2 linked regions of the Oryzias latipes genome follow. The protein of the gene in region 2 purifies or fractionates together with the protein of the main gene of each other region. This does not show direct contact. Links are inferred from orthologs where the notes say so. Each region holds a gene or a part of one and is shown on either strand. Other genes may lie near its edges.

Region 1 (4,364 bases), on a different chromosome or scaffold from region 2:
CTCTTCGTTTGTTTGTGTTGATTTAGAGTAAAAACAAACCCGACTTGATTCGTTAGATCCACTTTAGCTTGGGCATGAAAAAATAAAAATAAAGGTGTGACAGGATGTTGAAGATCCACTCCAATCTTTTGTTTTAATTTAAAAGCGTTCTAAGCGGCCTCATAATTATAATCATGCAATTTCTAGACCCCCCCAAAACAAAACAGAACGGTGTCATTGTCTAGGATAGTTTCTGCAGAGCAGCAGGAGTTTATTAGAAATTCAGATGTGGGTGGTACCTTTGGCACACAGAATATTGTTCAAATTTAAATAATTTTCAAAGGGTCTGATTTTCAGTGCAAATTTGATATTTCATTACAAGCACTGAGGATGGCTTAAACATATGACAAAGAAAGAATAAACAAATGGAAGAAAAAAGCACAAAAAAGAATAGAAATGTCAAATAATTAGATATTTAATTTGTATAGGTTTGAGTTGCTTTCGTGAATAATTTAGCTGTTAAAGGATCATTTAACCCCTTTGCATCTTTGATTATCATCTTCACTCTGATACACACGTTATACTCTGTTACTTACTCTGTTGCAGGACCAGTTTGCTCACAGCTATCAGCCCAAAAAGCAGGCTCCAACTGGTTTTATCCATCCATTTATTACTGCACAATAATAAACAATAAAAGCCTGCGTATCATTAATTTCATCACTAAGCGCACGTGGTCATTTCTGTTGCACCACATTATTAATTCTGGTCTTTGTGTGATCAAAGCATGTTGTGTTTCAGCAGTTACCTTTGTCCCGCCACTCCTCAACCCAATAAAAGCGTGACCTCCTCTGAGCACTCGTCTCCACATGTTCAATAACAACAACAGCGTTCACATCCCCACGTGGCAAGAATCATGCTGCACTAAAATAACACATTAACCATTTACAGTCTATATATACAGTCTATCTATAGTTGACGAAATGATTCTCTATACTAAGTGACTGTAATTTGACTATAAACTGAAGACGTTTTCCTCTGTAGTCCACATGAGAATTGAAAGGAGCTCGGAAAGTACTGTTTCCGCAGGGCTTTACGCAAACACACCAATCCTGGACTGCGCATGACTGACTCTCGCGAAGCGTGCTGCCTTCAAGTGCGTCGGTTAATATGAACTACAACAGCCAGCAGAAATAGAGAGGTGCTTATTAATAGAAAGAATGATTAAAACATTCTACTTAACAATTTCAACGAAAAATAATGTAGAGTTAATAAAAGTAAATAACATTTAACTCTAGTGTTTTAGGACGTCTCAAAAACTAAAATGCCTTGATGATATTAGTGAGTCCATAGTGAGTCCGTGAAAGTGAAAATGAACAATTTTAGAAGTTTTAGTATTTGTCATGCATCAGAGCATCAATATATTGATGTTAAATTTGCATTAAATTCCTCTGAGACTCATTGTGAAGCGTACAGGGCTTTTTGGGTAATACTTTTAAGGAAGCCGTTGTATTATCCCTCATTTTCCAATAGGTGGCGACAAATCTTCTGTCAGCCGATCACCAACGTCCAACTGCTCTACAGAAGAAGAGAAGCGACTTGTGTTGTTGACTGCTGAGGGTTTTCACATGCTGTTTAAACAGTTTAAGACGCGTCCAACAACAATATCTCTAAACGCACCGATAATACTATATTTTATTCGGTGATCAATATTAGGACTGTTGGACGCTGTAGAAATGTCGCCACTATTTTTTCCTTAGGCGCAAAAGCGTGGAGCTAGCTAGCTAGCTAGCTTCGTTTAGCTGAAGCAGGAAAGGAAGAAACGACATCGTCCGTTTCTTCTGTCGGTATCTCTGACTCTAATTTTTAGCCTCTGTGTTTGAAGTTCGTCACAGGCATGGTCAATCGGATAGAGTGTATATTCTTTAGTGAGTTTCACCCCACACTGGGTCCAAAGATAACATATCAGGTGAGTGCTAGTCTGAAGTTGTGATCATGATCCGTAAGCAGACTAGAATAGTAACTTAGTCTTTAATGTTTACCTTAGTAGAACGGCCACAACAATGCCTCTATTATGCAGTACCGCATTATGCTGTGCCCTATTTTGTCCTAACACAAGAAAGTAAGAAAACTTGTTTTTCCTTTTGTTATTTTTCGCTTCCTTTTTGCACATAATGTTTCTTTTAATAACAATCAATGTCAGTACATTTCACTTTAACTTGACGCCCCACTTGTTAAAATTGCACTTTTTTTTCCTTTTTATATGATTATTATTATATCTCTCACATGGATTCAATGTGTCATGTGTTGTATCATTAAGATTTATGATCAACAGTAATTATAATAGCATCACCTACATGTGTTCGAAGAATGTATAGAAATGGATATTTACTTTCAATATTTTATTTTCCAGTCAAATAATTACTAATCCTCTTAAGTTTGATATATCTATGTGTAAATGTATCACTCTTGTTTGCCTTGCCCTGTTTTCATTGCTTGAAATAAATCCATACCTAATTCTAAAGGTCTATTAAATGAAACCGTAAAAGTGCAGTATTTTAACAGAAGTACAGATGAATACGAGAGTAGCTCCCTTTAAAAAAATCATATTTAATTTAAATAAATAAGTTGAATCTTCTTTATATGTTATATTGAACTGAGAAATGACATAAAAATATGAGTTGATTCTATATTTTTCTTTGTCAGGTCCCAGAAGAATACATCTCAAGAGAGCTGTTTGACACGGTTCAGGTTTATATCATCACCAAGCCAGAGCTGCAAAACAAACTAATAACAGTGTATGTGTTCCAAAGTTCTCTCTCTGATAGGAACTTCTATTTAGTGATTTGACAGAGTCATGCTTTCTAAATAAAGCTGCTCTTTCTCTTTAGTAACTTTGACCCTGCTTTTGTTTATGTCTACAGCACGGCCATGGAGAAAAAGTTAATCGGTTGTCCTGTATGCATCGAACACAAAAAGTACCGTCGAAACGCCCTCCTCTTTAACCTCGGCCTCGTTTGCGATGCCAAAACTGATACTTGTGCCCTTGAGCCAATTGTCAAGAAGCTGTCTGGGTACCTCACAACCTTAGAGGTAATGTTTAGCACATTTACTTTGTCTGATCCTGTCTGTTTTTCAAATCAGTATATCTGAATGTGTTGTTGTTTTTTTTGTTCTCTTCCGTTGCAGCTGGAGAGTGGGTTTATTTCTAATGAGGAGAGCAAACAGAAGCTTCTACCAATCATGTCAACCTTGTTAGATGAACTCAATGCAACAGGAGCCTGCACTTTACCTATTGGTATTATTTAGTCTTTGTGTGTGTTGTGGATATTACATACATTTTTAAAACCACAATTTTACAGATCAAGAAAAGGATCAAAAGTTACTTAAGTGTTCAATTTTTGCATATAATGTCACCAACTTCATCCAAATTTGGCCAAGTATTCTAAGTTTAGTTTTGGTTAGGATTAAACCAAACCATTTGTTTCACCTTTAAACTAAATTGTTGGGAAAGTAAACCAGTAATATTGCATTGGAAGTGTCAAACCCTCGTGTTGTACTAAATGTAATATACTTATTATTGTTTTATTACATTACACTAAGCTTAGCATAAGCAAACTGAATTTTTTTTAAACTTTGTTACTCGCTCATTAGCACATCCAAAAAGGATCTTTCCAACTATTCTTTTGTAATTTTTTTGTGTTTGTGTTGTAAAACACAAATCATATATCGAACCAAAGCAAAACTATGGTTTGAACCAAATCATGGGGAATATGAATTGTTGCACCCCAATGTTAATGTCACTAAAATTTGAATCCATTTTTCTTACATTTTTGAACTTAGAAGTTCTAAAGGATTGTACTAGTCTGCCTTTGCGCCGCTGCCAAAAGTCAGGGTAATTACTGGGTTTTTGTCTAAATTGCAGTAGAATCTTCATCTTATAAACTCACTCCATTAAAAATTGGGCTTTTGGGGTCTTTAGCGTGTTCTTGTAGCATTGTTCTCATGTTGAAGGACATATAAACAAATGAGTAATTTTCAAAATTCAAATCATTGTGAATTAGGGGCAGATGGAAAAAAAAGTCGTTTAAAGGTTGTAGGTGTGAAGCTGCTACAGTAAGCCGTGGACAAGCTGGCATCTGGCTCAAAGGTTTACGGCTGTACAGCTTCAATATTAATGTTAGGTTGGGGGTGTGAGGGGCTGTAAGCTAGCGGGAGAGAATGAAAACAAAGGGATGATGGGAAGTCAGCACAGGCTTACTCCCTTTCCAACAGTCCCGCCCACAACTCTGAGGCAATTTTCTCATGAACTCCTGCTGCTCTGCAGAAATGATGTCCCAGTGAACAACACACGTTTTTAGATTTAGCCTAAAAACAACAAAATCCTA
Region 2 (3,578 bases):
ATCTGCTAACGCTAAACACTATCTGCTAACGCTAAACACTATGGCTAACGCTAAACACTACGGCTAACGCTAAACACTACGGCTAACGCTACATGACATCTGCTCACGATTAACGATATTTGTAAACATTAAACAAATTTTGTCACCACTAAATGATATTTGTAAATTTCTAAACGATATTTGTGAGAATTCAACGATATTTCTTTAACACTTTAACACTAAACCAAAAATGTTATTGCTAAACGCTAAATGTTAGTTTTAAACGATGAATGCCTTAAAAGGCAGAACAAAAGGAATTGTTAATCAAAAATGTTTAAAACTTTTTCATTTGATGGGAGTCTGATCTTTGGCCGTGACCAACTGAACTAATGCGACCTTGTGGTTTCCATGGAAACCATTTCAAGTCTTTTCAGCACAAAATGACATGGAGAGTTGACCGTTTACTGCTCTGTTCTGTCGGTGCTGCTGCAGGCTCCAAGGACTTCCAGCTGGTCACCTGGTCCAGAGATCAGACTCTGCGGATCTGGAGGGTGGACCCTCAGCTGCAGAAGGTCAGCTCCCCCGAGACCGGCTCCGGCAGCTCCAGCGGGCTCTGACTAGGTGGTGTTTGTGTTGCAGCTGTGCGTCAGTGACGGGGTGGAGGACCTGATGGAGGGGATGTCCCTCACCGTGGACACGGAGAAGTCTCCGTCCTCTCAGGGGCCCGAGGGTCAGCTCAGCGGAGCCGGAGATGGTCTGCTGGGTGAGACAGGTGGAGCTCAGGAGGAACCAGGAGGCATTTCCTTCATGGAAGTCCTTGATGGAGACTCTGAACCTGCACTGACTCGTGTCTGTGGTCCTCAGACCAGGGGGGCTCGCAGAGCTCCGGGACTCGTCAGGACTTGGCCCCGGGTTCAGGTCTGACTCAGACTCTGCAGCAGGAGTTCTCTCTGGTCAACCAGCAGATCAGAAATGTGAACATGGAGGTGAGGATCCTCTGTGCCCCTTCAAAATAAAAGCTGGGGGTCTGAGAGCCTTAATGGTAACAGGAGTTTGTGGCGTGCAGATGGACGCCATGAACCGCAGCTGTGTGGTGTCGGCGCACTTTGGCAGCCATCAGGTTCACCTGGTGGTCAAGTTTCCGGATCAGTATCCCAACAACGCCGCCCCCACCTTCCAGTTCGTTTCCCCCACGACCATCTCATCCACCATGAAGACCAAGATCCAGAAGGTGCAGCAGGTCGTCTTCCTGAGGGAACTCCAGAGCTGCAGATTTACCGTTTTCCGTTTCCGTTCAGATCCTGAGGGACACGTCTCTCCAGAAGGTGAAGAGGAACTTGAACTGCCTGGAGCCGTGTGTCCGACAGCTGGTGTCCTGCCTGGAGTCTGACATGGTGAGACGTTTGGACCGATCCAGACCCCATCCGGAACCTTTCAAGTTCTCCTCGTGTCTTCTCTCAGACGCAGGAGGACAGCCCGGCATCGGGTCCCTTTGTGCTGCCCAACCCCGTCACGCCATCGCTGCAGGCTTTCCCCCGAGTCACCAACACCTACGGCTCCTACCAGGTGAGGAGCCTTCGTCTGCGATGAAGACGATGCTGGCTTCTAGCTGACGACCTCTTGTTGTTTTGTTTTCAGGATGCCAACATCCCCTTCCCTCGTACGTCTGGAGCTCGCTTCTGCGGAACCGGCTGTCTCGTTTACTTCACGCGACCAATCAGCATGCACCGCTCGGCGCCCGCCATAGAGCCCACCCCCAGGTACAAACGCCACGGCAGCAGATACCAGTGTGTCTGATGACTCACAAGAGTAACCGGTGGCTCCTGCTGCTGTCAGCAGAGACCTCCCAGGGTTGGTGGTTTGATGCCCAACTTAAAGGTGTAGTTTTGGTTGATGCATCAGGATTAAAGTTTAGACGGTTCGCACAGGTGTGAGTACAGGAAGTGCCTAAACGGGTGTCTGGGGATCATATATGTGAGGGACATGGACCTTCATGACATGTGTTCCTTCTTTTGGAGCATCTTCTGGTTTCTAGGGGTTGACTTTCCTGTTTTTAGCGCTAAAGTCTGACCTTTCTCCTGAGTTCAGGGTTAGTTTAGCCCACGAGCTCAGGTGCATGATGGGACGAGGAGCTGTCAGTCATTGTGTTTTCGCGTCCAGGTCCCTGTCGGCTCTGTCGGCCTATCACAGCGGAGTTCTGACCCCGATGAAGATGCGCTCCGAGTCCCAGAGCACGCTGCGGCTGTACAGCGGCAGCCCCACCCGCTCCGACAAAGACACCGTCTCCATCTCCTCCTTCTACTATAAAGAACGGGTGAGGCGCGCGTCACATGACTGCAGCCTCCTGACGGCCGCTGCTGCTGGTTTTTGATCTTTTCTTAGCGTCTCCGTGATGACATGAAGGTTTGTTCACACTCAGACAGTGGAAAGGGCTTCTGCATTCACATCAAAGGGACCAGTTGCTATGGCAACAGGGTAAGCAGGTGTCTAGATTGTAATGGAAGTCGACCTTACAGTCCAGCTCAAACTGAAGTTTATCAAAATCGTTTAGTTGAAAAATGATAAACAGCGTTGATGATTTGACAGCGCTTTACGGTCCATTTACCCATAAACGCACCGCTGGCGGCCCGCTGCCAAAGACCGGCGCCAACCTAGATCCACCAGGAGTGCCTGCCCAAGGACACTTCAGCACACGGGGGAGGGGGGTAGGAACATACCTGCTCAAAGACGGGAGCGCCGGAGATGCTGCATCCATCTGTCGGCCTCCTGCTTTGACCTTTGACCTTTGAACCCCTCAGCCTGGGGGAGGGAACCGTCCCTAACCACCAGAGGAGAAAGACGACCCCGGACGTACAGCCGGAGGAGCCGGTTCCCCTCCAGACGGAGCTGGGGTCCGGGGTTGATGAAGCTGCACACTGGCTCCTGGAGCCAAACGCTCCTGTGGGAGGAGCTCTTCAGCCCCCCCCCCTCCAGGATCATTTAACCACTAAAGCGGGTGAAACAGCATCTAACTGCTTCCTGCAGCTTCCTGATTCCCTGCATGTCATGGTGGGTTGATGGTTCTGCTGTTTGTCTGCATTTTGGGAACTTACTGCCCCCCCAGAACCAACCAGCCCTTCAGGGGGGGGTTGAGCAGAGGTTAGCATGTCACTCCTTCAGGAAGCTTCTGTTTTTGCGCTGACCTCCTGCAGGGAGGGGCGGGCGTGTAAGTTCTGCAGATCCAGGAGCGGTTTGTCTCCGTCCGTCCACCTCTGCTGGAAAACAAGGTGTGGGGTTGGAAACCTCCATGCTGGACGCTGAACCATAACCCAGCTGAAGCCTGAGAGAAGACGCGGGTGGACAGGGCGGAGTTTGGTGAATGAATGTTTGGACCTGGGACCTGGTTTGTGATGAAGGTCCTGGTGTGCCGCTGAGTCTTCCTCAGTCTGAGGATGAAGAAGATCCTGCAGCCATTCCGGTCTTCCTCCCTCTGGCTGCCCCCCTGATTGGCTTTGTTTTGTCTCTTTGTCTTTTGTTTGGCGTTTTCTCTCTGACCAATCACCCGCTCACCTGCTGCTGTGGGCCAAACCTCCTTCCCACCCTCCTCCAATCAGAAGCTC

What was found. Proteins that work in one complex are often made in the same cells at the same time.
Region 1: the proteins of wdr59 (region 2) and nprl2 purify together in Homo sapiens (affinity purification with western blotting; 5 studies listed by BioGRID and IntAct, with this or other methods). This does not show direct contact. The link is inferred for Oryzias latipes from reciprocal best matches to the Homo sapiens genes WDR59 and NPRL2.

What each region holds. Positions count from the first base shown.
Region 1 is NC_019863.2:8,118,729-8,123,092, reverse strand, and holds the start of nprl2 (GATOR complex protein NPRL2), read left to right. Parts: upstream 1-1,535; 5' UTR 1,536-1,873; coding exon 1,874-1,945; intron 1,946-2,023; exon of another isoform or gene 2,024-2,098; intron 2,099-2,682; coding exon 2,683-2,774; intron 2,775-2,900; coding exon 2,901-3,069; intron 3,070-3,165; coding exon 3,166-3,274; intron 3,275-4,364. Other genes in the region: hemk1 (hemK methyltransferase family member 1), read right to left, coding at 785-847. UniProt on the Homo sapiens protein: Catalytic component of the GATOR1 complex, a multiprotein complex that functions as an inhibitor of the amino acid-sensing branch of the mTORC1 pathway.
Region 2 is NC_019861.2:37,921,003-37,924,580, reverse strand, and holds part of wdr59 (GATOR complex protein WDR59), read left to right. Parts: intron 1-471; coding exon 472-551; intron 552-618; coding exon 619-751; intron 752-843; coding exon 844-965; intron 966-1,045; coding exon 1,046-1,210; intron 1,211-1,277; coding exon 1,278-1,373; intron 1,374-1,440; coding exon 1,441-1,545; intron 1,546-1,617; coding exon 1,618-1,739; intron 1,740-2,139; coding exon 2,140-2,293; intron 2,294-3,572; coding exon 3,573-3,578. UniProt on the Homo sapiens protein: As a component of the GATOR2 complex, functions as an activator of the amino acid-sensing branch of the mTORC1 signaling pathway. The GATOR2 complex indirectly activates mTORC1 through the inhibition of the GATOR1 subcomplex.